Stegostoma tigrinum: one gene and its partners. The protein of the gene in region 1 interacts with the protein of each later gene in a pairwise test. Links are inferred from orthologs where the notes say so. Each region holds a gene or a part of one and is shown in the gene's direction. Other genes may lie near its edges.

Region 1 (6,969 bases):
TTAAACAATAAACTTGATCGGAATAGTTTCTGATCAGGCCTTAACACCAAACCATTGTTAGAGTTAGATTTTATCAAGCACAGGAATATAGGAGTACAGTGGAAAGTTTACAAAGTTGCTATCTTAAAATACAAAAGCAGAATTTTTTTTAAAAAGCGAAAGAATAAAAGAAAAGGAAAACATCCAGATCTTAAAAGTGTTATCTTCCTGTACCTAGCCCTGGCCTGGCCTGGAGACTGTGTCAACCTCCTGTGGAGACATGGTAGACAAACTGGAAGAAAGAAGAACGCAGTAAGCCAGGCAGTATTTGGAGGAAAGCAGCAGTTGACGTTTCAGGTATTACTCTTGAGGTAAGGGTAATACCCGAAACATTGACTGTGCCTTTCCTGTAGATGCTGCCCTGCTTACTGTGTTCTTCCAGCCTCCTGTCTGTCTGCCTTGCATTCCAGCATCTGCAGTTTTTCTTGTCTCCTCCGGAAACATGCTCCACCGATCAGCTTTGTTGCAGCTGCTGCTGCCACCGATCACCAGGAGAAGCCACTGGCATATACGTGTCAAGATTTTTGACTAACTCTAGTTCAATGGACTTTTATGCCCTGCACACGTTTTATATCTCGGCCACCGCAACCTGAAGTAAATTTTGGATTGATCTGAATGATTTATAAACTACAATTTTTTTTGTCACATAAATGATTGAAGAAGCCTGCATTTACAAGGTACCTTCCATTCCCCAGATCATTCTGAATGTAATGAAACAATAGAATCATAAAATTACCTAGTGTGGAAACAGGCCCTGTGGCTCAACAAGTCCACACCAACCCGCAGAGCCTCCCATCCTGACCCACACCCCTATAACCCACCTAATCTACACATCCCTGAATTTTGCCTGGCCAGTCTAACTACTCTACACATCTTTGGACAGTGGAAGGAAACTGGAGCACCTAGAGGAAACCCATGCAGACACTGGGAGAATGTGCAAACTCCACACAGACAGTTACTCGAGGGTGGAGTTGAACCCTGGTCACTGGTGCTGTGAGGCAGCAGTGTTAACCACTGAGCCACCATGCCGCCCATAGTAGGCCTCAGAGATAGGGAGAAGTTGGCCAGGATAGGCCTTGGAACATCGGAGAATGACAGGTGATCTTATCAAGATATATAAAATCATGAGGGGCACAGATAGGATGAATGCATGTAGTCTCTTTCCCAGGGATGAGGAATTGAAAACTGGAGAGCATAGGTTTAAGGTGAGAGAGGAAAAGATTTGAGAAGGACCTGAGGGGCAGAGAGTGGTGTGTATATGGAATGGGCTGACAGAGAAAGTTGTTGAGGCAGGTCATTTAAAAGGTTGGTGTTTTCGGGAAAGTTTAAGTGAGGATTTTTCAGCTTTTAAAATCTTTCCATTGTCTGCCATTTGATTCATTCTTATCCTAAAGGCACTGATTCATGCACACAGGTACCTGCACACCTCTGGTATCTCACCTGACTGACAATTATGACACAAAAGAGAAATAGGCAATGATGATTGTAGAGCCTGTTTCCAGAACAGCTCATGCTCACAGGGCTTGAATTTGGCCTGCCCAGTCTATAGGACGCAGAAATACACGACAAGTACCGCCAAATGCCTTTGTCGCTTGGATTTGTGATCTGTTTTAACCTTCTGTCAGGAGATTTACTACAGTGATTGTGGTTCTAAGCGTATTCATCAACAGGCTCTGAAAAACTCAGGTGTGCCAAGGTATATGCAGCATCCTCGTCGTAATGTTCTGTAATGAATCTCCGCATTAATTGCTGTTGGCAACTGAACACTGGTTACAAGCAAAATACGGCGGATGCTGGCGATCTGAAATAAAAACGAAAAACGCCAATCTCAGCAGGTCTGAAAGTATTTGTGGTGAGAAAAAAAGGGAGGTAACGTTTCCAGCCCGATATTGACTACATCGGAACGCTTATTCTGAAACTACTTATTCATAGAATGAATTAAAACTATTTAAGATTTCCAGCATCCGCCAGTACCTTGTTTTTATTATAACGTAATGAAATGGATTTACAACCGGACATGAAAAAAATACTGGAGAAACTCAGCAGCATCTGTGGAAAAGGAGAGACAAAACATTTGGCTTTTAAGTATGACTCTCTGGGAGGAAAAAGGAAAACACATCACCCTCTTCGTAAGCTTAAGGAAATGTAAATCCTCCTTTTAAATTAAGTCTTTGTGAAATTTAGTTCCTGTAACAAAGCGGATTGAGTCTCAGTATCAGAGATAATGGGAACTGCAGATGCTGGAGAATTCCAAGATAATAAAATGTGAGGCTGGATGAACACAGCAGGCCAAGCAGCATCTCAGGAGCCCTCTCTGATGAAGGGTCCAGGCCCGAAACGTCAGCTTTTGTGCTCCTGAGATGCTGCTTGGCCTGCTGTGTTCATCCAGCCTCACATTTTATTATCTTGGAATTCTCCAGCATCTGCAGTTCCCATTATCTCTGGTATCAATGTGGATTTCACCAGTTTCAAAATCTCCCCTTCCCCCACTGCACCCAAAACCAGCCCAGTTCGTCACCTCCCCCCACTGCATCACACAACCAGCCCAGCTCTTCCCCTCTCCCTCCACTGCATCCCAAAACCAGTCCAACCTGTCTCTGCCTCCCTAACCTGTTCTTCCTCTCACCCATCCCTTCCTCCCACCCCAAGCCGCACCTCCATTTCCTGCCTACTAACCTCATCCCACCTCCTTGACCTGTCCGTCTTCCCTGGACTGACCTATCCCCTCCCTACCTCCCCACCTACACCCTCTCCACCTATCTTCTTTACTCTCCATCTTCGGTCCGCCTCCCCCTCTCTCCCTATTTATTCCAGTTCCCTCTCCCCATCCCCCTCTCTGATGAAGGGTCTAGGCCCGAAACGTCAGCTTTTGTGCTCCTGAGATGCTGCTTGGCCTGCTGTGTTCACCCAGCCTCACATTTTATTATCTTGAGTCTCAGTATAACTTTCACCAGCTGGGCTGCACGCGCTTCGTCGTTAGGGACTGTATTCCTTCCCGTCCGCTAGTAGCCTTGGACACATCAATTGTCGTAGCTATGGGAAACGGCCTAAAATTATCGCGATAGCTCCTCTGGCCTGGAAGGACGGGGAGAGGATGCGTTCTAAACAGCAACACGTTGTGATTGGTCAACTCGAAAAAGCGGGCCTGATGGCTGATTGGGCCGTGTCCCCCGCAGCGCCCCACACGTTGTAACCGGAAGTGGGCGTGACCACACTGTGGTGGGGGGGCGGGATTCGAGCTGCCCGCTTCCCGATTGGTTGCCTCGTCTCCCGGGTGACCAAACGGTCGCCTGCCGATTTGAAGAGGCGCGGAGTTGGGGGAGGGGGATGGAAAAAAAAACATGAGGCGCAAAAGAAACAAAACAGCGATCGGTGAATGAATAATCTAGTCTAGCGTGAAGAAGAAAATAATGTGACAGAGATGCAGAGGAAAAATAAACAGCAAAAAAATTGAAAAGTGGTGAGGGGCGACAGTCAGGAGCGACCGGATCTGCCGTCAGATGTACCGCAGCCGGTCAGTGGTTTCACTGTGCACCCACTGTAGGCCGCAGATCGACAAACACAGAGGCCTGCATACATCCCCCTACACTCATACACAGGCCTTACGGATAACATTACTCTTCGCAGGAGCAGGAAGAGCCGCAGTGACGCCGACCAGGGGCCAGCAGCATCGTTATTGCGTTTTACCCTGAATGGGACGACTGCCTGTGAGTTCAACTGTATGTTTAATTGTTTTCTATAATTGTCGAATAGCCGAGGAATGTGGAATTCCATTTCTTTTTATTTCCAGTGTAAACCGGTTTCAGTGTTAGTAATCAATTTTCATTGCATTGTTCTTTCCTGCTCAGGAAGGATTGTGTTGCCAAAACAGAAACAAGAGCATTCAGTTGTGCTTTGTACCTACCCAGCCCGTACTGTCTGCACTCAGCCTTGCATTAATTCGGGAATTAGTGATGAATCCACTAGTGCACCCAGTGTGCCTGGGAAATGGGTTGTCTGCAAATACGTGAGTAAGCATAGAAATGTACAGAGATAGTAGGAACTGCAGATGCTGGAGAATCTGAGATAACAAGTTGTAGAGCTGGATGAACACAGCAGGACAAGCAGCATCAGAGAAGCAGCAAGGCTGATGTTTTGGGCCTAGACCTTTCTTCAGAAATGGGGGAGGGGGTTCTGAAATAAATAGGGAGAGGCAGATAGAAGATGAATGGAGAGAAAACAGGTCAAAGAGGTGGGGATGGAGCCAGTAAAGGTGAGTGTAGGTGGCGAGTAGATGTGTCAGCCCAGGGAGAACAGCCAGGTCGAGGGGGTGGGATGAGGTTAATAGGTAGGAGATGGGGCTTGAGAGGCGGGGACAAGCTGGGCTGGTTTTTGGATGCGGTAGGGGGACCCATTGTCTCCACCTGCTCCTGCCCCACCGAACACATCTCCACCCATCTCGACTCCATTTTCTCCCCTTGGTCCAGGAACTCCCTACCTATGCCCGTGACACCACCCACGTCCTCCAGAACTTCCAATTCCCTGGCCCCCAACACCTCATCTTTAATATGGACGTCCAGACCCTTTACACCTGCATGCCCCATATAGATAGCCTAAAGGACCTCCGCTTCTTCCTGTCCCGTGGGCCCGACCAGTCGCCCTCCATTAACGCCCTCATCTGCTTCGCCGAACTTGTCCTCACCTTCAACGACTTCAATTCCTCCCACTTCCTACAGACAAAGGGTGTGGCCATGGTTACCCACTGGGCCCAAGCTATGCCTGCCTCTTGGTAGATTACGTGGAACAAACCCTCTTCCATATCTAAGATAACAAAGTGTGGATCTGGATGAACACAGCAGGCCAAGCAGCATCTTAGGAGCACAAAAGCTGATGTTTCAGGCCTAGACCCTTCATCGGACAGATCTACACTGGCGCTAAACCCCACCTCTTCCTCTGTTACATTGATGACTGTATTGGTGCCGCCTTGTGCTCCCACCAGAAGCTCAAACAGTTCATCCACTTTGCTGTCACCTGCCACCCCAACCTTAAATTCACCTGGGCAATCTCTAATACCTCTCTCCTTCCTGGACCTCTCTGTCTCCATCTCTGGCAACCACCGAGAAACTGATATCTGTTTCAAGCCCACTGACTCTCACAGCTGCCTAGAATACACCTCCTCCCACCCACCTTCCTGCAAAAATGCCATCCCTATTCCCAATTCCTTTGCCTCCACCGCATCTGCTCCCAGGGTGAGGCGTTCCACTCCCATACATCTCAGATGTCCTTGTTTTTCAAGGACTGCTATTTTTCCCCCCCTTCAGTGGTTGAGAACGCCCTTGACCATGCCTCCCGCATTTCCCGCAACTCATCTCTCACACCCCGTCGCTGCAATAACAACCAAACCAGAATCCCCCTTGTCCTCACGTACCACTCCACCAACCTCTGGATCCAACGCATCATCCTCTGACATTTCCGCTATCTGCAATCTGACCCCACCACCAGACATTTTTCCCTCCCCACCCTTTTCTACTTTTAGGAGGGACAATTCTCTCCATGACTCCCTTGTCTGCTCCACACTCCCCTCCAGCCCCATTACACCTGACACTTTTCCGTGCAACCGCAGGAAGTGCTATACCTTCCCCACCCCCACCCCAGGCCCCAAGAAGACCTTCCACATCAAGCAGATGTTCACCTGCACATCTGCTAATGTGCTATACTGCATCCGCTGTTCCCGTTGTGGCCTCCTCTACATCGGGGAAACCAAGCAGAGGCTTGGGGACCACTTTGCAGAACACCTATGCTCAGTTCGCAATAAAGAACTGCACCTCCCAGTCGTGAACCATTTCAACTCCCCCTCCCATTCCTCAGACGACATGTCTATCCTGGGCCTCCTGCAGTGCCACAACATTGCTACCCGAAGGTTGCAGGAACAGCACCTCATATTCTGCTTGGGAACCCTGCAGCCCAATGTTATCAATGTGGACTTCACAAGCTTCAAAATCTCCCCTCTCTCCACTGCATCCCAAAACCAGCCCAGCTCATCCCCACCTCCCTAACCTGTCCCTCCCCCCCCATCCCCTCCTCCCACATCAAGCCCCACCCCCATCTCCTACCTACTAACCTCATCCCGCCCCCTTGACCTGCCCGTCCTCCCTGGACTGACCTATCTCCTCCCTACCTCCCCACCTACACTCACCTTTACTGGCACCATCCCCGCCTCTTTGACCTGTCTGTGTCCTCTCCACCTATCTTCTCTTCTGTCCATCTTCTGTCCGCCTCCCCCTCTCTCCCTATTTATTTCAGAAACCCCTTCCCCTCTCCCATTTCTGAAGAAGGGTCTCGGTTCGAAATGTTAGCCTTCCTGCTCCTCTGATGCCGCTTGGCCTGCTGTGTTCATCCAGCTGTACACATAGAATTGTACAGTATGTTTTTGCCAGCTCTCTGAAAGTAGCTCCAGTTAGTCTCTGCCTGCTTTTTTATAACAGCTCTGTAATTCTCCTTTTTGAGTATATAAACCATTTCCTTTGGAAAGCTGTAATTGAATTTCCTGATACCATTCATTCCAGCATTGAATTTCATATTAGTTTAATGTGTCTCTTTTCATCTTCTTTGACCAGTTATCTTCAGCCTGACTTCCAGTACTGTAAATAAAGAGAAACTGTTAATGCTTCTTGAAGTTTTGAAAACTTCCATCAAATCTCCCCTTAACCTCGGTTCTAATATTGACAACAGCTTTTCCAGACTCTATGTAATTGAAGTCTTATTGTTGGTACTATTCTAATAAATCTTTGTATTTTATCCAAGACCTTGGCATCCTACCTGTGGGTGTGCAGTTCAGAATCAGAGAATTTTAGCTGAAATGTAACTTGTGAATTATAAAATTTTACTGTTTTTATCATTTTATAATCTTGTTGCCAAAGGTAGCATTTATTGCTCATCCTTAATTATCCT
Region 2 (6,886 bases), on another chromosome or scaffold:
TGGGATGTAGTAACCCAAGGGAAATCTGCCCATTTATGGGAGCCAGCTGTGTGCAAATAGGCTGCTGTGTCTACAAATCAAAAATGCAGTGTTGCAGTGAAGTCCTTTTGTGATGCATGTGTTGGGGAAGAGGAGTGAGTGGGGATTTGAACAATGAACATTTTTTTGGCTGGCATAGCTTGAATTGCTTTGCTATGAAGAACTGCACTTCTGGATATAAATATTTTTTATTTATTCTCTAAACTAGGGGAATTTGGCAAGGCTAACAGTTATTGTACTACTCCTAGTTGCCCCGAACAGGTAGGGGACTCCTTGAACTACTGCAGATCAATTTTTATTCTTTTCTTCTGCTTTTGTACTCACATTGAAACTGTACCATTTTGAAGTGGCTTGATACAAGTAAATATCTAGTGTTTGCCTTCTGTTCTTCTTTATTCATCCTAACAATACATCCTTCTAACCTTTTCTTCCAGTGTTTAGTTAACTTCTCTTAAAATGTGTTCATCTACTCAACCACTCAATGTGGTAACAAGGCCAACCTTCTAACTGCAATGCAACATCTCCCTGATCTTACCCTTAAAGATCTCGATTAGGCCACTTGGAAGTCACCTCTTTTCTAGAAAAGAACTTGAGCTAAATCAATCTTTCTGGACAGGCGTAACTTCTCATTTCTTATGGTATTCCATTAAACCTTTTTGTTTTACTTCCTCAGTGACTCTATGTTGTTATCATTTATTAATGTTTAGGCTTGAACTGCTTTGGCTCACAGTATGTGCTGGCGGGTGAGCTGAGATGCGTCGGGGAGGAGAAAGGTCACCTGAATTCTTTGTAGCAAGAAATATTCACATTACTTTGAACAGCGTCTTGATTTGGTCTGTGGTCAGAGATGGGAAGATGTGACAGAGTAAGGCAGGTAAGGGGGGTGGGAGTGGAGCATGCAGAACAAGAAGTGTTGTTGTGGTCATAGTTAGTATACTCAAGAGGATTGGTTTATCCTCTTCAGCAATGGATGACAGTCCAGACAACTGCATTGTCTGTCTTGTACCAGGAGAACAAAATATCTCCTCAGACTAAAGACAAAATTGTCGCAGGACCAGGATCATCAAATTGTGATCTAGCTGGGTGCGAATGACACAAATAAAGCTGGGTAAGAACTTCTGCATAGAGGGTATGAGAAGCTAGAGCACTAAATTAAAAGGCAAGCCTCAAACTTTGTGGTCTCTGGATTATTACTTGAATGCTATGCAAATTGATGTAGAGTGAGAGTCAGGCAGCATCAGAGGAGCAGGAAAGTTGACATTTTGGGTTGGGACCCTTCAGAAATTTGAGAGGGGGAAGGGAGCTGGAAAGTGAATGGAGGGGTGGTGGGACAGGAGGAGGTAAGTGGGATGATGATAGGTGAATGCAGGTAGGGAGTGGTGGGGCGGATAGGTGGGAGAGAAGACGGACATGTGCTTGGGTGAAGGAAGTGGGAGGGAGGATGCATGGGGCTGGGGAAAGGTAAGTGGAATGGTGTTAGGTTGGATGCACATAGTGGGTATTGGGGATTGGTCAGCAGGACGGGTAGGGCAGATAGGTGGGAGCGAAGATGGACAGGCTGTGTCAGGTCAAGGAGGCGAGATGAAGCCGATTTTGGTTGGGGGGGGCAGTGTGCGGAGATTTTAAAACTGATGAATCCTATGTTTTGGGCCATCGGACTGTAGGCTCCAGAGGCAGAAAATGAGGTGTTGCTCCACCAGTTTGCGTGTGGTGTCGTTGTGATGGACATGTCACCGAGGGAGTGGGGGGGGGGGGGGGGAGTTAAAATGTTTGGGGACCGGAAGGTGGTGATGCTTGTCGCATACTGAGTGCAGATGCCCCTCAAAATAGTCTCCACTTTTACGCCTGATCATCTCACTGATATAGAGGGGTCCACATAGGGCGCAACACATACAGTAGACCAAGTTGGAGAATCTACAAGTGAACCCTTGTTCGATATGAACGGTTTGATTTTGCCCTTGGAGGTGAGGAGGGAGGTTTACGGGCAGGTGTAGCACTGTGCAGTTGCAAGGAAAGGTGCGGAGTGTGGAGTGGACGAGGGAATCACGGATTGAGCAATCTATGAAAGGCAGATGGGATGGGAAAGGAAATATCTCTGGTGGTGGGGTTGAGTTGTAGTTGGCGGGAGTGGCAGCAAATGATAGGCTGGATGCAGAGGTTGGTAGGGTGGTATGTGAGGACAAAGGAGATTCTGACTATTTTGTTGGAGGGCGTGGGTTTGAGAGTGTAAGTGCAGGAAATGCAAGAGATACAGTTGAGGGCATTTTTGATCACCGGAAGGGAGAGAGGTTGCAGTCCTTGAATAAGAAGACACCTGGAATGTCCAAAAGTGGAACGCCTCATCGAGGGAGCAGATGAGGCGGAGGAGTTGGCAGTGAGGGATCATAATTTTGCAGGAGTGTGGGTGAGAGGAGGTCTAGTCCAGATAGTTGTGGGAGTCAGTGGATTTGAAATAGATGTCAATGTTGAAATGATTACTGGAGATGGAGACAGATCCAGGAAGGAGAGGGAGGTATCAGCAATGGTCCGGGTGAATTTGAGATTGCGGGAATAGGGGTTGGTAAAGTTGATGAACTGTTCAAGCTCCTCAAGGAAGCACAAGGCAGTGCCGATTATAGTCATCAATGTAGCGGAGGAAGAGGTAAGGAATGGCGCTAGTGTAAAGCGCAAGAACGAATGTGGGACATGTCGTTCCAGTTCTTGGGGCATTGGCACCACTGCTGGAGAAAATGGGAGCTACACCATTGGGGTGGCGTTTATCTGAACCATGCTGAGCCAGTGTTTTTGCAAACTGTTTCTAGGGTATAGAAGTGTTTTAAACTGAATAGTGAGGGCAAGTGAATAAATGTGGAAGAATATAGCCTATCAAACAGATAAAGCAAGAGAAAAACAGTAACATGGGAAATAATTGTCAGAGTATAGTAGTAAAGACCTTGGTCATAACTCTGCATTATATTCATAACAAAGTAAATGAATTAATAGTGGACAGTGGGTCCTTAATATTGAGGGGTATCTTACGTTTAAGAAGAATACAAAACACACTGGAGGTGTAGGACTATTAATCATGCCTCCTAACAGTAACCACAATGTCAAACAAAACGTACAAGATATACAAAGGTATTTCTGGTAAAATGATAGCTATAATCATGGCTGATTTGATGTGTTGTAAACTGGAAATATTGCCAGAGATAGACTTGAAGAATAGTTCATGGATTGCTTTCAAGGAGAAAGCACTGACTAGAACATTAAAGTTTTTGGCTATATGATTAGGAAAAAAACACTAATCCAGAAGATTCAACATGGTTTTGTCAAGTGGAAAAATTCTTTGTTTCAGATTTCCAGCATCTACTGTATTTTGCTTTCATTACTTTTATTTGTGCCCTCTGGTAACCTATTTGAGAGCTGGAGAAGATTTACTTCCAATGGTTAGCCTGTTGGCCTTGTTGCTACAGGTGTAATGTAGCGTGATCTTAGTATATTTAAGAGGAAGCTAGAACATTATAGAAGGAAGGGATAGGAGGATTATGGTGATAGGGTAAAGGATGGCAGGGACCACATGCAAATGTTGACAGAAAACGGATCAAATCCACTCTTGGGAAGTTTCTTTTACTTGACTTTAATTTTGCATTTGTTAAAACGTGTTATGTTTTACTAGGAAAAATCTAGCCCCTTCAGTGCCTGACCTCCATTGATTTCCACAAATCATCTAGTCACCTCTACGCTACCATGAGCCTGCGCCATATGTGCCAAATGGCTGACGGGTGTATCTTTGATTGCTGTCTCAGGTCTCCCTCGCCTTTTGTTCCCCTCCTTATATTTGTAGTCATAATAAGATTTTTTCTCTCTCTCGAGTGGCTGGACAAGCAGCAGAGAGGGAAAACCCTTCAATTGGAAGTCTCTCATGTCTTGTCTGTCAGGATTGGTGACGTCAAGGGGCGGGTTGTGTTTCTATGATCAACCTGCGGGAAAACAATGAGGAGCGGAGCCGCCTGAAGCTGGAGCCTCCCTGAGCAGTGAGAGTATCCAAGCTGGTTCCCGAACGCAGCTCTGGGACATGATGCGAGGCGGCAGCAGTGGGCCAGCGGAGGAGTGGGCAGACTCGGGAGCTGAGACTGCAGGGTGAGTGAGTGCCTTTGTCGACTCCTTCCTGGGCCTGTTGTGATTCAGAAGCAGGAGGGAGAGGGCGGCTTGTTTCCACTGTCACCAGGCGGGGCACCATAGAGGGGGAGGGGAGGGAAGCCGTTAACAACAAAAGATTTCTGTTGTACTGTGGGCACAAGATCCTTGCACGGGTTGCTGGTGACTCTAGTTCACTTGAAATTAAATGAAATGTAGAAGGCACACGCCTCTTCACAACACAACTTATTCACTTCACTGTCAGCCAGGTTTGCTCCACTTTAAATCTACACTACATTACATTTCAGTCAATTTTTTTTGTACACTGAAGGAACAATCCACTTTCTGGGCGGGGTTGAAGTTTCTTCCTCCAAGAACTTTCAATGCCTTTTACAGTCGATAGGCTGCTAGTCGAAAGATGAATAGCACAATTCCGTTAAACATTGTGGATAACCGGCTACTTAACGGGAGGTCTTTGCTGGGTTTGTGCCCGACGTTATGTCAGGTTTTTGTAAAAATTCCTTTGTGGCTGCATTAGATCATTGTTAATAAGACGAGAGTTGCCACAGTCTGAGCCAAACTGAAATGTATATCTCTGGTTAGCAGCGCTGGAGCAGATCACGTTTCTAATTTAATGCTCGCAGTAAAGAGGCTGACATAATCTCGGAATCACCTCTCGAATGGTGTCAACTGCCGGTCAATGTTGAAGACGTGACACATTCACACTGCCCACGATATTTCGGTTATTGATTCACCGTGGAAACCAGAAAGCAATGCTGTTTGTACCATTCTGGCGACTAATGTGTAGCGGGCGCAGTTTAAATAGGAACCTAAATCAAAATTCCGAACACAGATGAAGTTGTTGCCCTGGTAACCCCAGACCTTTTTTAAGTTCAACTACGCTGCACCGAGTTGGCGCTTTACACTGATTCCTTTGTGCATTTTATTATCAAACACCAATTTCGAAAAACCTAATAGAAAAACAAAGTGCTGGAGAAAACAGAGTTAATAATTCGGGTTCAATTTTAAGAGTCTGGATTTCTCCAGCAACTTTCTATTTTGTTTCAGGTTTCCAGCATCCGCAGTTCTTTGTTTTAGGTTATCGAAAAACCTAATAGTTTTTGCCACCGCGGAAACTTCCGACCCAGTATCAAACAAACAACTTTGTTTTGTGAATGTACTGCACCAGACATTTCCTTCTCAGATTCCGATGATTATAATCTTCCCTGGTTACGCGTTGCGTTTAGTCAGCAGTTCTAATGCAGTTTTCTTTTTAGAGCCAGCCACTATGAGCTAGCACTTAATATTGCACAGGGCAAGTTCTGTACTAGAACCATAATCTATTAACTGATCTCTTCCTAAGGTTATTCCAAAACCTGAGTTTATTGTTGATTTAAGCGACTTCATTGTTTGCCTTACAAAAGGAAATGTTTCGAACTTGTTTGAAAAATAGCTCTAACTCGGAGACTAGAGATTGTGTACGTAATAGATATTTCAAAGATGTTTTAAACATATTCCGTGTAGATATTCGGTTTATATTGATTAATGTTTCAGTAGAGGGAGGATTTGTGGCTTAGTTGATACACTTTCTGTTTTGGAGTCCGAGACTCAAGTTTATGCCCTAATCCTGAACTTTATGGTAAATGAGGGTGCATTCATCACACAGCCAGACTGATTCAATTTTGATTTGTAAATCACTCTCCTGAATGCCAGAAATAATCGATTCCTGGCCAGTCATGACCTCGGGGTAACAAACGTGAGCTTCCACCATTGCTGTCCATATCTCCAGGCTGGGAGGTGCATGTAAAAATTGTGATCAGAGATAAAGGGAACTGCAGATGCTGGCGAATCCTAGATAACAAAGTGTGAAGCTGGATGAACACAGCAGGCCAAGCAGCATCTCAGGAGCACAAAAGCTGACGTTTCGGGCCTAGACCCTTCATCTCTGAAGGGTCTAGGCCCGAAACGTCAGCTTTTGTGCTCCTGAGATGCTGCTTGGCCTGCTGTGTTCATCCAGCTTCACACTTTGTTATCTTGCATGTAAAAATGTACGTTTTCACAACTCGGCTTCCTTGGGGACTGAATAGCAAGTGCGAATCAGATTGGGGCACACAACATTATTTTCAACAGGGGTAGATTCAGGACCCGTCTCCTTCCACTGCCTGAACTCGTGACATTGTGGGCCAGAACTGCCTTCAGGAAGAAAACACCAACTGAATTCTTTCTTTAGCATAGGCTGAAAGCTATCTCCAGTACCATGTTGCTGCTGATAATGCCAGTTCTCTAATGAAACTTTTAAATTGCAATACCATTTACTTGATCATTCCTTGTAATCATTTAAATATTTTTTATTTAATTGCATCTTCAGTTTCCTGATGAACTCAGCTCCAGTTAGCAATTCCTGTGAAGCATTTTGATCAATTGTAATCTTTTGAAAGAAAATTACTTTCTAGTCTCCCTTGAATAATTCTTTAGAAACATATAATGTTGAGGATCATAATAAAATTACTAGTTAGTATTACTACAACTTTTTTACTGATTTTGTTTTAAAACGTAAGGAATTATTTTGACACCTGTTGGACAGCAACTTAGAAATAATGCACCTAATTTTAATAACTAACTTTATTTACTGTGTTTCATGACTTAAGTTCAATCACTTCAGAAAGGGGCAAGGTGAAATAAATGTAGTGATCAGCTTAGACCTTGGTAAGGTGTTTTAGATGTTGTTAGA
Region 3 (7,539 bases), on another chromosome or scaffold:
CAAATTAACAAATTGAACTTCAAACAGAATTTCTTACAGATATGAATGCAATGCTCTCATGATCTTGGGTAAGAGTGGAATTTTTTTAGGGATCTGAATGTTCTACTGTTTCACATAATCTGCGTTGCATGTGACATTTTACTTTAAGTTGCCTACTTCCTTCTCCAGTCCTCCTTATCTTACTCATTTATGTCATTACTTTGGAACAACATCGGCAAGCCAGATATGTCAGGAAGTACCTCCTTTTTATTTCTGTACGGTAATTCAGCCTGGCGTTTCATTCCTAATTCTTTATTCTGCAATTCCTTTCTCAATCCTTCCTGTTCTGTTACTCAAATCCTAAACCTCATGCCGCTGCTTCAACACCTCCCACAATTTAAAGTTTTCCTCATGATCACATAATCTAATCCCTCTTCAACAGGCATTATTATCCCAGTTCGCCAGTTTAGATTAGTTCGTTATTTCCTCTGCAGTTTTTTTCCACATAGTTATTAAAGTTTTTCAGTTTGCCCCTGATTTGCATTTCAAAATTGCTTCTTTCACTTTGGTGCATTTATCTACCACCTCGTTCCCTCTATTTGCCCAATTTCATTCCCTAATTTATTATTAAGGCATGCTGACAGACGTCTGAATTGCTCCTCATCCTCAGAATTTTCTCGGCACGTTTGATGCGGAGGAGCTCCAGTGCCGGATATATCCAAAGTGTACTCATCCTACACTTATCTCTTACCCTGGGTTTATTCACCCTCCCAGTGCTCTAACATCCACCCCAACGGACTATCGGGCGGAATCCCGGGGCCTCGTCCTCTTGGCCCCCTACTCTGTTCCCGGGGGCTCTTACCTTTTAGCCCCCATCCCTGTCCCACTTCGGACAGATTCCCCGATCGCCCGGATAGTAGTTAATAGTCAATTTTCTTACCCGGGTCTTGTGCACAAGAATTGCTCGATCGACTCACATTCCAAGGGCCCTTAACCTAAACCCACTTGTTTTCAGAGTCTCCTATCCGGATACGACTCGCTCAAGCCGCCCAACGGCAAGCAAGGACGTCTGGGACCTCTGAACTCAGCGGGGCACGCCTTCTCTTCTTCCGAACCCACCAGCGGACGACTCGGAGTGTGGATCCCGGATGAGCCCCCAAGCTTGTGAGATATAAATTCACGTGCTCACAATCACAAAGTCAGGAGGCAAAGTCTTGGAAACAAGTTACTTGCGCTTTATTACGAGTCTGCAGAATCGGGTGCCTCCCATTGCCTGAGACGCACACAGGTCAGGGAGTCACCCCTTCCCTTTCGGCTCTGTCCAATCTGAGCTCCAAGATGCACAATCTTCCCATGTCATCCCTTGTCCCACACTCTTCATACATTGCATGTTATGTTAATTAAGCAGTCTCGTAAGCATGGGCGTGAAAGTTAATATGCATTGTCTCATTAAGCATGCGCTTTAACTATGTCTATGGTGCAAAGCAGAACTTAGCAGTTTGGGTCCAGTTCATTCTGGTTTCTAACTGTTTTGTCTTCACTCCCTTATCTTATCACTCAGCTCAGTACCAGATGTCTTTGTTCAAAGCTGCAGTAATTCTTTACTGCAGTGTACTCATCCCTGTCTCTCATACTGTTCTTGCCACCAAAGTGTATAACCGCACATTTATCCACATTAAACTGCATCTGCCATGCATCCGTCCACTCAGTTAGACTGTCCAAATCACCCTGTATTGTCATAACATCCTCCTCACATTTCACACTGCCACCCAGCTTTGTGTCATCAGCAAATTTGTTAATATTACTTTTAATGCCTTTGTCTATATCATTAATGTACATTGTAAACAGCTGCGGTCCCAGCACCGAACGTTGTGGTACCCCACTGGTCACCGCCTGCCATTCCGAAAGGGACCTGTTTATCACTACTCTTTGCTTATTTGATATTTACCCCTAGAAACTTGAAGTGCTTGATCATCTTTACCTCTGCACCATTGTGACCAACAGGGCATATCCTCCAAGATAATAAAATGTGAGGCTGGATGAACACAGCAGGCCAAGCAGCATCTCACGAGCACAAAAGCTGACGTTTCGGGCCTCTAGCGTCACCGTAGACCAAGGGCTCGGGTGATACTGATGTTATATGAGGCAGGTTGTTATTGTCATTAACGGAGACAGATGTTATGTGCAACTTTGATGTTCTTATGTCTCGGTGAAGGGACTTAATTCACCGTTTGCGGTTTTTCCTCACTTGTCACTGAAGAGTTGCAGAAGTTCGAGTGTCAGTGACAAAGTGAGTCTCGAGGTCTTTTGGGCGAAAGTGTCGTATCTCTCGATGCCGAGGAATGTCATGAGGCGGTTATTCATTTCCGACCACTTGCCTCGTGCGCCCATCACAAAGCCAAAATAGCTGGGCACCTCGCCTCCTGTCAGTTTCGTGATCTCGGCATTCAGGTGTTTATATTTTTCCACTTTTTCTCGCCATGCTGTTTCCAGTGCTTTATTGTCATTTTCGTACCGCACTGTGACATCTACGATCGCGATCTTCTTGTCTTTCTTAAATATGAGATCGGGTTTCCATAGTGAGCCGTGTGTATCGAATAGTCTGGGCTCCACGTATGATGTCCAGCCGTACTTACTGACGTGTTTCTGCAACTGGTCAGCGATCTTATTATGGCGTTTGATTCGAGCTTTCTTAACGAATGGGCAGTATCCTGAGATGTGTGGTAGGGTCTCATTTGCCATCTCACATCTACGGCATAGTTTGTTTCTGTACGGCCTACCTCTAGATATTGTGGTTCTTGTTGGGTATAGGTTACACCGCAAGAGCTGCGGATTATCGCGGATGGTATTTGCACTTCGAGTTTTGGGACGCCGAGACCATCGTTCCTGTAGCTCGAATATAGTATTCTGTCTGCGGTATGAGGTGGTAGGTGTAGGAATTCTTTCGTGGCGTTACGGATGATTTGGTCCAGCTTTACAAGAGTAGTTTGTGATGCTTCTGTTAGGATCATATGGAAGTACAATCTGGGGATGACATGCACCTTTAGGATTTCCAACCGTTGCCGTGGTCGGAGAGGCGCTGCCTGTATTCCCTGAACCCAGGACTTAAGCTTCTCCTCCCACTGCCCTTCTGCCACACCTGCCCATGGATCGATGCGGGCACCCAGGTATTTCTCGGTGTCGCCTGGGGGTATGTAGGCTATGGATTCATCCCGTAGCTTCCAGTTTTTGTGCTCGTGAGATGCTGCTTGGCCTGCTGTGTTCATCCAGCCTCACATTTTATTATCTTGGAATCTCCAGCATCTGCAGTTCCCATTATCTCTGAGGGCATATCCTCCATTTCACTTTCTGAAATTGATGGCCAGTTCCTTCGTTTTGCTGACATTGAGGAAGAGATTGATGACTTTATAGCATGCCACTGAGCTCTCTATCTCTCTTCTGTACTCTATCTCATTGTTGTTGTCATCAGCGAATTTGTAAATGGAGTTACAGCTGAATTTGGCTACACTGTTGTGACAATATAAGGACTATAATAAGGGTCTGCGTGCACAACTTTTCAGGGTGTTGAGGATTATCATGGAGGAGGTACTGTCACCTATCCTTACGATTGTGGTCTGCTGCTCAGGAAGTTGAGGATCCAGTGCAGAATGGGGAGGAGTATCCTAGCTCTCGGAGGATTGGGAAATGAGTTTGGTTGGAATTATGGTGTTGAAGGTAGAGCTAAAGTCACTAAATGGAAATTTGACATACGTGTCCTCGTTATTCAGACGTTCCAGGGATGAGTATTGGACGAAAGCGCTGGTGTCTGCTGTGGACATATTGCGAGGATGGACGAACTGTAGCTGATCAAGGCAACCTGGGAGACTGGAGATTATGTATGCCATTAGTAACGTTGACTGGTTCCCAGGGAGGAAAGAAGATACAGACGTTGTTCTTGAGGTATGCGAGTGCTTGAGGTATTTGAGCAAATGGAGCAACTGTTCCCAATTGTGAAAGGACGAAGGACACAAAATTAAATAATTGGCAAAATAAGCAACCGCAATACGAGGAAATAACTTTTTTTTTATCCGTGCAGCCGGCACTCGAGGTCTAGAATACACTGCTGGAGACTGGTTCAATCGATGTCTTCGAAAGGGAATTGGACTGATATGGTAGCACAGTGTGGAGCTGGAGGAACACAGCAAGCCAGGCAACATCAGAGCAGCAGGAAAGCTGATGTTTCGGGTTCGAGACCCTTCAGAAAAGGGGCTAATTCTGACTCCAACAACTGCAGTTTTTACCATCTCTGGACTATGAAGTGAAAAGTTTTTAAAAATGTATGGAAAAGGAAGAAAAGCATGAAAAGAAAAAGACAGGCAAAAAAAATGTGCACCTTTGGAGTAGGGAGAAGGAAGCTATGAAGTGAGTCGCTCTGATAGTGTAGAGATGATGCATGCTCTCGTGCAGCAGTTCCCTGATTACACTTGTGCTCTGGACGGGAAAGTCTGCCTGCGATTGCGGATTGTGACGTGGCTCCTCGGAGCGCGCTTGCGTGTCTATTGGCACCGCTCGGCCGCCGTCGATCATTGAGGTTGCAGTTCCACGTCAGCTGGAGGACAACGGGAGGAAGAGATCGGCTTCCTCCTCCTCTACCTCCACACAATCATCATCATCCTCCTCCTCCCCCCTCCCCGCTTCTTCAGCCGCCGTTGATACAGCGACCCGGCCTTCTCTTCTCATCTCTGGAGACCAGGTGCAGTAAGACCGTCGCCTGGCAGCGGAGGTTGCCAGTTCCTGGCCGCGGCCTAAGGCCGGGTTTTGTTGTTGTCTCGGCCCCACTCATGCTTCCCGGAGCAGATTTACATCACAATAGGGAGCGGTCCTGCTCCCTCCTCAGATGGACTGGACTGACTCTTCGGCTTTAGATTGAAGCAAAATCAAATGAGGTTTTGAATAATCCTTGAGAAGCCGATGTTTTTACAAAAGTGAAGGGTCCCCGTGTAAGCATGTAGCTTAATATTTCCGCAGCATAATGTTCTCTGTTCACTTCCTTTGGGCTTCACTTTAACATTTGAATTATGCCTTTTTGCAAATCTAATGACTTTGCAATCAGGTAAAACTTGCCTGGTCCTGGAAAGTGCCAAGTAGTCAAAATGGCCAGGTCAGCTTTTAAACTGTCGGGATGCCCAGCACTGAGCGAGAGGAAACTGCTGCTACATAAACATTAACAGCGAAAAATCGAAAGGTCGAATTTCTGCGAGTTGTTTTGTGAAGTTTGCTAGCAAGTTGTGCATAAGATAATCGCTTACCAGAAGCGTCGGTCAACCAATTTTTCTTTCATTTAGAAAAGCTTTAAGCTTCAGTTTCAGCGTGCATTTTAAAATGGAATCATAATTTTCTCCAGTATATTTGGGATTCCATTCCATTCCTTATCAATAAGACCTCCTTTCTGGTTTAAATCTGTATTTGTCTTCTTGCCTAACTTTGCACTTTATTTCTTAATGTAATTTGCCATTTATCATTTCCGAATTTGTTACCTTTTCGATCTCCTTGGAGGTTTTCTTTCAAACCTGAAATCTTGATGGTACTTCATAATTCTGACTTAATTAATTCTATGAATTAACATCACTGTTCTTTCATTGAATATTCCTTTTGTGATTTGGTGGTGAGAGCTAGATACAGTAATCATAAGTTTTGAGCTGATCAGACAGCTGTCAGCTAGATCATGACTTACTCTGATTTGTGCCTACAGCAGTTCATCATTTTATTGGTTTTGTGGTTTGAATTTTGTGTTTAGTTGTACATCTTGTGACAAGTTTGTGGAAACACTTTGGTCTCCTTCAGCTTTCCTGCTATTTGCAAACAACATATATCTGATTTTCCTTCATGCATATTGAACATCATCTGCCATAGCTTTGTTCATCTGGACATTTTATGTCCCTTGTCTCACTTTCTGAGTTTCTTCCTTGCCCATCATAATTTAGCATTTGCAAATTTGAGCAAGTTGCATTGAAGTTTTGAACTTAAATATTGTATCAATCAACAATGAAGTCCCTTATTTACATTGGCTTCAAACTATATGATATACTTAAATGTTCTGTAAAACGCAAGTGTAGTTTAAATGTAGGATAAAGCTCCAATGACAGAATATTACCTGAAAATAACTACATTTCATGACTAAGTAATACAATGTGCCTGAGAGCCTGATAACTACACTGCACATCTCAGTTACTTCGAGTGTGAAATATCCTCTTAAAATTAGATAAAAGATCAAAGTGCAAACGTAAATTTTTTTTTCTCTAATTGTTACCTGCTGTATGAAAAAATGGTTTGTCAACCTCTTATTATATGATATTGATATTTTTGGTGAATACATGGCCTTCAGGAAGGGAGATGTGACCTGCTTCTGAATTCCGTGTAGTCCTTTCAGTTCCTGCTATTGATAAACAAATGGCAGAGTTCTAAAAAGCCATGATGTAAACTACAGTGTTATGATATGTCCCAGTGATGGCTCATAGCTAAATGCTATTGCCGTTTGTGACACAGTGCATCATCTCCAATCTCCCTATTCCTTTCCGAAACCTTTGGATGTCTGTCACCACCCAAATTGCTGCCCATCTTTCCTACAATTTCATGTTTGAAGCTCACTAATTAACCTTCTGCTCCTGCTGTAAGTCAGCTGTTATTAAAGTTACAACTGGCAACTTATATGACTGTGACCATGATAAGTAATCATTCCATAGTTTTTTTAATCTGCCTTCAACCTTTGACAACGTTGGCCATGCTATCCTCCTTCAGCATATCTGCTGCATCGTCCAGCTGATTGAAACTAACCAGGGGCAATTCCATTCTGATCGACACAGTCATAGCCAAATAATTACCTGCAATGAGGTATTTTTATTTGGTCCTGTGTTACCTCTGAATTCAGCAAGGATGTATCCCTAACTATTACCTATTTCTCCCCTACCTCTTTGACATAATGCAAAATCACAATCTCAGGTACCATATGTATGCTAGTGCCATCCAGTTCAACTTCACTTCTACTTTATGTGCATTGTTTCTGATTTATCTCACTGCTTTTCTGACTCCCAGTGCTGAAAGGACAAATTTTCTCCAACTAAGTGTCATCTTAGTTAATTCACAGAAACTTTTCTTCAAAATAGCAAGGGAAAAGAATTATCCCTGATGACCTGTCAAATATTTCTCTCGTAGTTACTGTTATAGAATAGATTATTTGGTTGCATTGGTGTTCGTGGAATTTTCTTATGTGCAACTCTGCTGCTGTTTGCCTACATTACCACATTAGCTGCACTTCAAATGTGCATCATTGCTGTAAACTGTGTTTTGGAGTTTCTTGACATAAAAAGGACTTCATGAAAACAAACGCTGCTCTTTTGTTTTCGCTGACTACACCCATTTCCATGAAAACTTAGAGACCAAACCAGATTGTGCATGTCCTTGGTGTCATGTTTGACTCTGAATTTTCAACCCTAACTCAGTTCTTTGCCAAGGCAATCTGCTTCCACCAATGTAACATTGTCAACCTACATCATTCCCTCAGCTTATGTGTTTCCGAAACCC
Region 4 (7,770 bases), on another chromosome or scaffold:
CTTGAACTTCAACCTTCTGGCTCACAAGTAGGAACATTACCACTACACCACAAGAGCCCTGGCATCAGCTGAATTTATTGGAGTATTTGGTCTACCAATCTCATTATTCAATGCCATTATTCAAAAGTGACCCTGTTCAGTTGTAAAGGAAGGAAGGGTATGTTACCTCATTGTAAAATAGCATCTGATATCTACTATTCTATTGCAGGGGAGTTAGTTGGTTAGTTTGTGGGTGATGTCAGTATCCAGGATGTAATGAAATGATTGTCATAATGATTTATACTGTATGTTAAAACAGACAAAATTGTTCTAATGAGTGGCAATAGGAGTTTAATATGGATAAATGTGAGGTGCTGCATTTTGGAAAGACAAATCAGGGCAAGACTTATACACCTTAATGATAAGGTCCTGGGAAGTGTTGTTGAACAAAGACAACTTGGAGTGCAGGTTCATAATCCCTTGAAAGTAGACTCGCAGGTTGATAGGAGAGTGAAAAATAACCACTCCGAAGTCTATGTGGTTCAAACAAGCCCCAAGTATATTATTTGATCATAAATAAGGGATAAGCTCTTATTGATTACCCAAAGCATTTGTCAAAAATACTGAGTTTGCAGCACACAGTTATAATTCTCGACTTCATGCAGACCATTGTTATTCTCACCCTTCAGCCTTGGATCTGCTAGTTTCCTTGGTAATTCAAACACCTTGTCTGTTGTTTATCTCCTTGCTCTTTGTAGCAATGAGTGATATGCTTATACAGGCTGTGAATGCTAAAACTTGGGAAAAAAAGATCGAGTATAATCATATCATTTATTTCAAGATAATCACATACTTTAATTTTAATCATAGTAATAGTAGGGTCTTCATTCCCACCTCAACACAAATGGCTAGGTTTATCATTACGTTTACACTCTCAGTGAAAAATGGTGACTTAATTGTTGATATCCAGCTGTCATTGGAAATAAGAGTTTTCAATCTGAGGGCTTCAAGCTATAAATGTTTTATTTGTAAACCTCCTTGGACCTCGCTGGTCGGTTAATTATAGTGATTTCAAAATTAATAGTTTATGACATAGACATGATTTCCTGTCATTGAATTTGTAACGTACCTGGCTTGACAAGAAAATGACACCATTTGTGAGTATAAATTATGATAAATTAACGTAAACAATGGATAGAAAGTGCCACTATTGAAATAGCTGTGGCATTACACTGATTGACACTATTAGCACCTCATGGTATCTGTCACCTCTGTGAGAATAAGGTTCCAAGCAAGGATTGGCTGAGGGGTAGTTTGTTGTTAGCAATCCTTTTTTTGATCTGTACTTTGTCCAGAACCAGCCTAATGATTAGTGGAAGAGGATGGGCCACCATAGAGTCCTTCCAGAAGACTAATTACTAGGATTCTTGAGAGCTATACCCTCCATAGGCTACTGTAGCACTTACCGTTTAACACACCAGCCTGTGTGTGACAGTCTCAGAAGGGATGGAGTTCAATGTCACGGAAACATTAACTCCTTCAAAATCAATACCTTGCACAACAATACAACCAGATCTTCCTGTTGAAATGCTGCAAAAAGTTGACTTTCATCCCACTTCTGACATTATGATGGAGGGGAAGTTCTTTTGACCTGGTCAAATGGGTAGGTCCCAAGATGCCATCATCACCTTCCCAAAAGCCTTGCAAAGTGCTGGGAGAATTGGAATCAAAATCATCAACTAGATTAGGTTGTAGCATAAAAGAGAATCACAACATAATGAATGTCCAGCAGCAAGAACTAAAAACTGCTATAAGTGTGGCCAATCAGGGCTCTTCAGAAAATATTGCAAGTTAACAACACCTTAATTACCTCACAAATAAAGAAATATCCCGCAAAATGGAAAATTTCCAGAGAGGTGGAAATCATGCAACAAGGAAAAATGTTCCTAAAGTTAAAGCTCCGGAACAAAAAGTGAAGACAGTGGTTCTACTGACACTCAGACGGAATAAAATAGATTCTGGACCATCGGTGTGAAAGTACAAGGCTTTGAAACAGAATTTAAACTCAACATAAAAGTAGCTGTCGCAATACTGACATCAGCTACCTGTGGTTGAAGTCTGTAAGAGTCAGGTCAATAAACATGTAGGCCCAGGGTCCAGAAATCACAGCACTTCAAATGTCTTGGCAAATTACCTTGAGACTTGGCCACAGCTCATGGAATGCCAGTAAAGTATTATACATACTGAGAAATCAGACTCTCATTTTTAACCAGAACTGAATGTATTCAACTAAGTCTCCTACAAATAGTGAATACTATATTTTAGAATGAATGAAAAAGGGAATTTCAAAAAGAATTTCCAAAGCTATTTAAAATCTTGTAGAAGAACCATTACAATACTCTGCAAGAAAATACTAAACTCAGCTTGCTTATATCACAGCGACAGAAACAACACAATGATAATCAAGGGTGGTCACTGTCCCCAAGGCACGAGGAGAACAGAATTGATAAAAGATTCTTCCAAACAGTTTGTTTCAATACATTGTTTCAGCTTTTTGACAAAGTTGAACCTCAACTCATCAAAGTCAATAATTTTGGAATCACTGACTTTTAAAATGAACCTTGGAAGTTGGGAATATATTTTGCAGTTGCTTCTCAATGAATGCTTACTTTTTGACTCTGCTTTCACCAGTTTCGCATTTGCCCTTGTGCAGTATATTACAATATTTTATCAGGAAATATACTATGCCATTACTTTCATTTGGTCACATCAGAAATGAATCACCAGCACTTAACTCCCACACTTTCATTACCAAGGACTACATGATGAAAAAACTGGAAACCTCCTCTGCAGGTTAAAAAACAGGAATGCTATGTTTTGATGAGATTGATAGCACTAAACCAGTTTTTTAAAGGTTGCAAATTTAATGAGCATGTCAATTTTGTTTCAAGCCATTTTTACCTGACAACCATGCGTATGTAAATTAATGTGCTGATATCCTGACGAGAACAGGGAATCCATTCAATAATATAGCCACTTGCATTATACAAACATTGTTTAATATTCGTCATTTTATTTTCCACATAAAGAGTTACCAGCAGGGTTTCCGTCAGCCAGATCTTGCCTGCTGTTTGGAGGGCCAGCAACAACCTTTCCCAGGGAGACCTACCAAACCATAAACCAAACAGGCAGCAGTGAGGCCACCAGCAAGCCTTCACCTGAAATCAGGACCCCAGGGCAGAAATCTGACCTACCAAGAGATGCCAGTCACTCAGGAGACAGTGACTCTTGTGCCCAGCAACGCTGCAGGGAAGACCGTGGCTGTTTCAGGAGAAACCTTCACCTGAGCCCCAGGATTGTGAAGTAACCTTGCGATGGGGTAACCCTAAACCTAAACCTAACCCTAACCCTACCACAGAGATTGGTAATGTCAGGAGGGGTTTCGTGGAGTGGAGGTCATTGGTAGAGGAATCGGCAGCAAAGGCAAGGGGTAGCTTTCTGTCAGGGCCTCAGTTCCTTTGATTGAGGGACCTCCTCTTATTGGCTGGCAAGCCAGCCACACAGTTTTAGCTGTCATGCACAATGCTTAGCAAAAGGCTTGCCTCCAGCCTGGATTAGTCCTGGCACAGGCTGATTAAGCCCGCAGGTGATCATAAATTAGCTACTTATTGGTCTCAGTTGGGCCATTCCTCTTTGCTGCTCCAAGTGTGTAATAACATCTCTGAATAGCTTGTTTAGAAAAATAGTTTGAGCTATGATCAGTCTGGGAAGTAGTCTCCCCACCTCGTTCCACTTACTGTCACAAAATCACGGAATTGTTCAAGCACAGAAGGAGGATTTTCAGCCCATCGTGTCTGCATGAACATTTTAACTTGGAGCCAGTCTCCTGCCTCTTCCTAGACTGCCCGAAACACAGATACAAATGGATGGATGACCTGCTCTGAGAGATTTACCAATGCCACACACAGCATGGTCAATAGGAATTACAAACTAAACATTTTAGGAATTATTATTACTCCAAGTTTCTCCCTGACCTATGGTTTTGCAAATTAATTATACAGAGTTCAAACGAGCCGTTTTAATTAGTGTCTTACAAAAGTAATTGATTATAGCTATACAAAGCAAACTACTGAGATGTGGTGTGATGTGCCTCCAGAACAGGTGGGACATTTGCCTTTTGACCCAGATGCAGGGACACTACAAGACCCTCAGGCAATCGATTGTATGATTGGCTTTGTTTAGAACATTACATTCACTGTACACTACAGGTTTCTGGTCAAACATCACAATCAAAGGCTTTTCTGTTACCACTTATGCTCAGAGAGTTCTAACATATTAGCTCTGGACAAGTGGAAGGAAACAGTGCTGGATTTTCATTCTCTGATGTTAACACCCAAAGGGAATATTTTGGTTGTCAGACTAAATCAAAGCAAAATGCAACGTTATAGTTTACAGTTTGGGGTCTCCACATGAAAAAATGTTCAGGAAAATATTCTCAAGTATCTTGCTCTTTCTGCAGCAAAGATTGCTAAATGATCTTTTTCTTTAGAAGTAATTATGGTCTTCAGATGTTTTCATTTCGTCTAAGATCACTTGACAAGTTACACTCTCCTATATGCAGAGCCACGATTTACGAGAATGGTTTCACAAAGAAAAAAAATTCAGTTTTGAGGATAGACTGAACACGTTGGGACTAGTCTCCTTTGAAAGACCAGTGCAGACATGATGGCTCAAATAGCACCCTTCTGTGAATCTAAGATCCTGGCAAGTGCAACACCTGAAGTGAACGTGGATTGGATCTTTGGCTGGAATATGGGTGAGCCAACACCTTCCTCTAGTTCCGATTATCTCAGACTCTCAGCTCAGATTCCTTTAGAATCCTAGAATTACCACAGTGTGGAAACAGCCATTTGGCCCATCAAGTCCACGCCAACCCTCCAATGAGCATCCCACCCAGATCCACCCCATCTCTGTAACCCTGCATTTGACATGGCAAATACACCTAGCCTACACATCCCTGGCCACAATGGCAATTTAGTATGGTCAGTACACATTACATGCATATCTTTGGACTGTGGGAGGAAACTGGAACATTTGGGGGAAACCCAAGGGACATGGGGAGAATGTGAAAAATCCACACAGACAGTCACGAGGGATGGAATTGAACCTGGGTCCCCAGCGCTGTAAGGCAGCAGTGCTAATCACTGAGCCACTGTGCCACCTTGCAATATAAATCACAACACCCGTAACTCTAAGAGGTTAAGTTTAATCTCTACCTCTTGGGGAAGGTTGCCCATCCATTGTAGAAACTGTGTGAGTGCCATCTCATTGATGGGCTCTACAATGGGCAGACAATCCATTTTCCCAGATCAATGCTTGAACATCAGAGTTGAAAATGACACTGACTTATAGACCACACACATTGTTACGCTCTAACTGGATCAGTGCAATTCCAAAAGACACGCTGAATTTTCATACAAAATCCAAATAATTGTCAGGTTGTAACAAATAAATAAAATGAAACTTTGATTTGCCCAATGATGATGAGTCTCAGGGTCAGGATATTTGGGGTGGAGGGGAGCATGATGTTTGAGAAAAGCTTACATCATTCATCCCTTCTGGCTTACCTTTGTTCAGAATATCAGATAGAGAGAAAACTTAGCGGAAGTCATACATCTACTTTATAAAAATTGGTTTTAGAACATAGAAAAGTACAGCACAGTACAGGCCCTTCAGCCCACAATGTTGTGCTGTGAAATAATCCTAATCCAAAACTAAAATAACCTAACCTACAACCTAACCCTCAATTCACTGCTGTCCGTGTGCATGCCCAGCAGTTGCTTAAATGTCACTAATGACTCCACTTCCACGACTACCACTGGCAAAGTATTCCATGCGCTCACAACTGTCTGGGTGAAGAACCTCCCTCTGACATCTCCTCTATACCTTCCTCCTAACACCTTAAAACTATGACACCTCTTGGCAGTCAATACTGTCCCTGGGGAAAAGTCTCTGGCTATCGACTCTATCCATGCCTCTCATTATCTTGTACACCGTTTGCAAGAACGCAATCACCAAAAACTACATTACTTTGCTCATGAAAAGATGTCTAATTAATATTGGAAGTTGCTGGTAATAAATTCTAATTGTAGCTAGTTTTGAACAGTTTATGTCCAAAGGAAGCAATGATATGAACATTAATGCAAAAGAGAGTTGACTTAATCCCATTGGACATACAGAAAAATAAATTGCTGGTTAACAAGATCTGAAGTAAAATATTAAGCTGTTGGTTTTGAGAAAAGAAAACTAACGTTTTTTTGCAAGGTTTTCTACTTCATTTGAGTCTCCATACCGATAGTTAAGATGTGTAACAATGTCTATATTAATGTAATTCTTACATCCATCAATTAGCATACCTTCAATTTTGTAGCTCACAAACTCAAACCCATTTAACAAAAAGCCTGTTTTAAGCAATGAAATGGCAACATTGCAATTCATTCATGTGACTGTATTGTAACTCAACTGATGGTCAACTGGAGATTAAAACGATTTTGAGCTAGAGTTCATAAACTGTCTGGCTATTACACAGCACTAGCGGATGTTCAACAGAATTTAGCAGGGTACGTGAATCAGTGCAAAATACTAAAATGGATGGCATTGCTGCTTGGAAGAGCTCCAGATGTAAATGTCAGAAGACCCAGGCCCATCCAGCAGGAACATCTTCTTTGTGTAATAACGAGGCATTGTAGGCCTGTCACATTCTATGTAAAGCCATCCATGTGCTCTGTGCATCATCACATGGTGTCATGAGCAATTAATGTAATCTTTATTCAGTACTAAAGCTTCACAGGGCACATACCACAGCTTGCTGTGGACTGAAGAGAGAAATACTTGTGTCAATCAGTGTTGTAATTGCAGTGTTTTGCTTTGTTAATTTATTTTATAAATTAGTGAGACTCTTAAATACTTGTTTTTTGGCTTCTCCGTCCCAGGTCTTTGCCATTTTGCTGAATTAGTAAAGCCTTGGTTCTGTGGAAGAGTTGTCAAGGTGCCAGAGCTGCGTGTTTTCACATCTCCTGCCTGCCTGCTGCAGTCTGTGCCTCCTCGCACATTGTGCAAGCAGCTCCTCTTGCAGAAAGAGAACAGCACGGGGAGCCCAGACAGAAAAGGATATTGTTCAGGGGAAACTGCAGCAGAACCTAAAGAGGAGTGAGCAAAACCATCAACATGGGAGCAGCTCATGGTAAAAAGGTAAACAGTCCTTTGTTCGTCATCTTGATTTAACATTTTACATAATGAAAGAGGGGTCAGAACGCTTAGCAGCACATAAAATATACTAAACTACTAATATTTTGTGTGCTGGCTGTGGATAATTGCCTATATTGAGTTAAGTACCAACTGCTAAGAAGAACTGAAACAAACTGATTGTTGTCTGAAAATAGAGAAATGGGCTGTGGGATTGAATTGCTTTAAGTATGTTAAATTTAAATGATTAACAGATATGAAGCATAGGTTTATTTATGTTATTCAATAAAAGCGTTAATTCTTTTCTGATCTATTTGTTTCCTCACACTTTCCCTTATTGCCTGGTTTTGTCCAATGAAACAGATTGGGAAAATCTTACCCGCAGGAAAGATTGTGGCTATAGAAAAGCCTGAGTTAGAATATTAATAATCTAACATTGGACCTGTACTAGCAATTCTAATCTTACTGGCATAGATCTTGCTACAGTAGATCCTCCCACAATAATGTGATTGTAAGACAGTGAGTTGTTGACAAAAAGGGCAAGAG

Evidence for each region.
Region 2: the proteins of trim37 (region 1) and protein FAM124B interact in a two-hybrid assay, tested with the Homo sapiens proteins (2 studies listed by BioGRID and IntAct). The link is inferred for Stegostoma tigrinum from reciprocal best matches to the Homo sapiens genes TRIM37 and FAM124B.
Region 3: the proteins of trim37 (region 1) and copb1 interact in binary tests that used the Homo sapiens proteins (3 or more experiments, as listed by UniProt). The two-hybrid records come from large-scale screens. The link is inferred for Stegostoma tigrinum from reciprocal best matches to the Homo sapiens genes TRIM37 and COPB1.
Region 4: the proteins of trim37 (region 1) and protein FAM107B-like interact in binary tests that used the Homo sapiens proteins (3 or more experiments, as listed by UniProt). The two-hybrid records come from large-scale screens. The link is inferred for Stegostoma tigrinum from reciprocal best matches to the Homo sapiens genes TRIM37 and FAM107A.

The regions. Positions count from the first base shown.
Region 1 is NC_081380.1:41,719,176-41,726,144, forward strand, and holds the start of trim37 (E3 ubiquitin-protein ligase TRIM37), read left to right. Parts: upstream 1-3,946; 5' UTR 3,947-4,026; coding exon 4,027-4,045; intron 4,046-6,969. UniProt on the Homo sapiens protein: E3 ubiquitin-protein ligase required to prevent centriole reduplication. Probably acts by ubiquitinating positive regulators of centriole reduplication.
Region 2 is NC_081367.1:24,340,967-24,347,852, reverse strand, and holds the start of protein FAM124B, read left to right. Parts: upstream 1-3,877; 5' UTR 3,878-4,093; coding exon 4,094-4,158; intron 4,159-6,886.
Region 3 is NC_081370.1:30,699,638-30,707,176, reverse strand, and holds the start of copb1 (coatomer subunit beta), read left to right. Parts: upstream 1-4,515; 5' UTR 4,516-4,711; intron 4,712-7,539. UniProt on the Homo sapiens protein: The coatomer is a cytosolic protein complex that binds to dilysine motifs and reversibly associates with Golgi non-clathrin-coated vesicles, which further mediate biosynthetic protein transport from the ER, via the Golgi up to the trans Golgi network.
Region 4 is NC_081364.1:52,121,695-52,129,464, forward strand, and holds the start of protein FAM107B-like, read left to right. Parts: upstream 1-4,753; 5' UTR 4,754-4,795; intron 4,796-6,951; exon of another isoform or gene 6,952-6,971; 5' UTR 6,972-7,206; coding exon 7,207-7,230; intron 7,231-7,770. UniProt on the Homo sapiens protein: Stress-inducible actin-binding protein that plays a role in synaptic and cognitive functions by modulating actin filamentous (F-actin) dynamics. Mediates polymerization of globular actin to F-actin. Also binds to, stabilizes and bundles F-actin.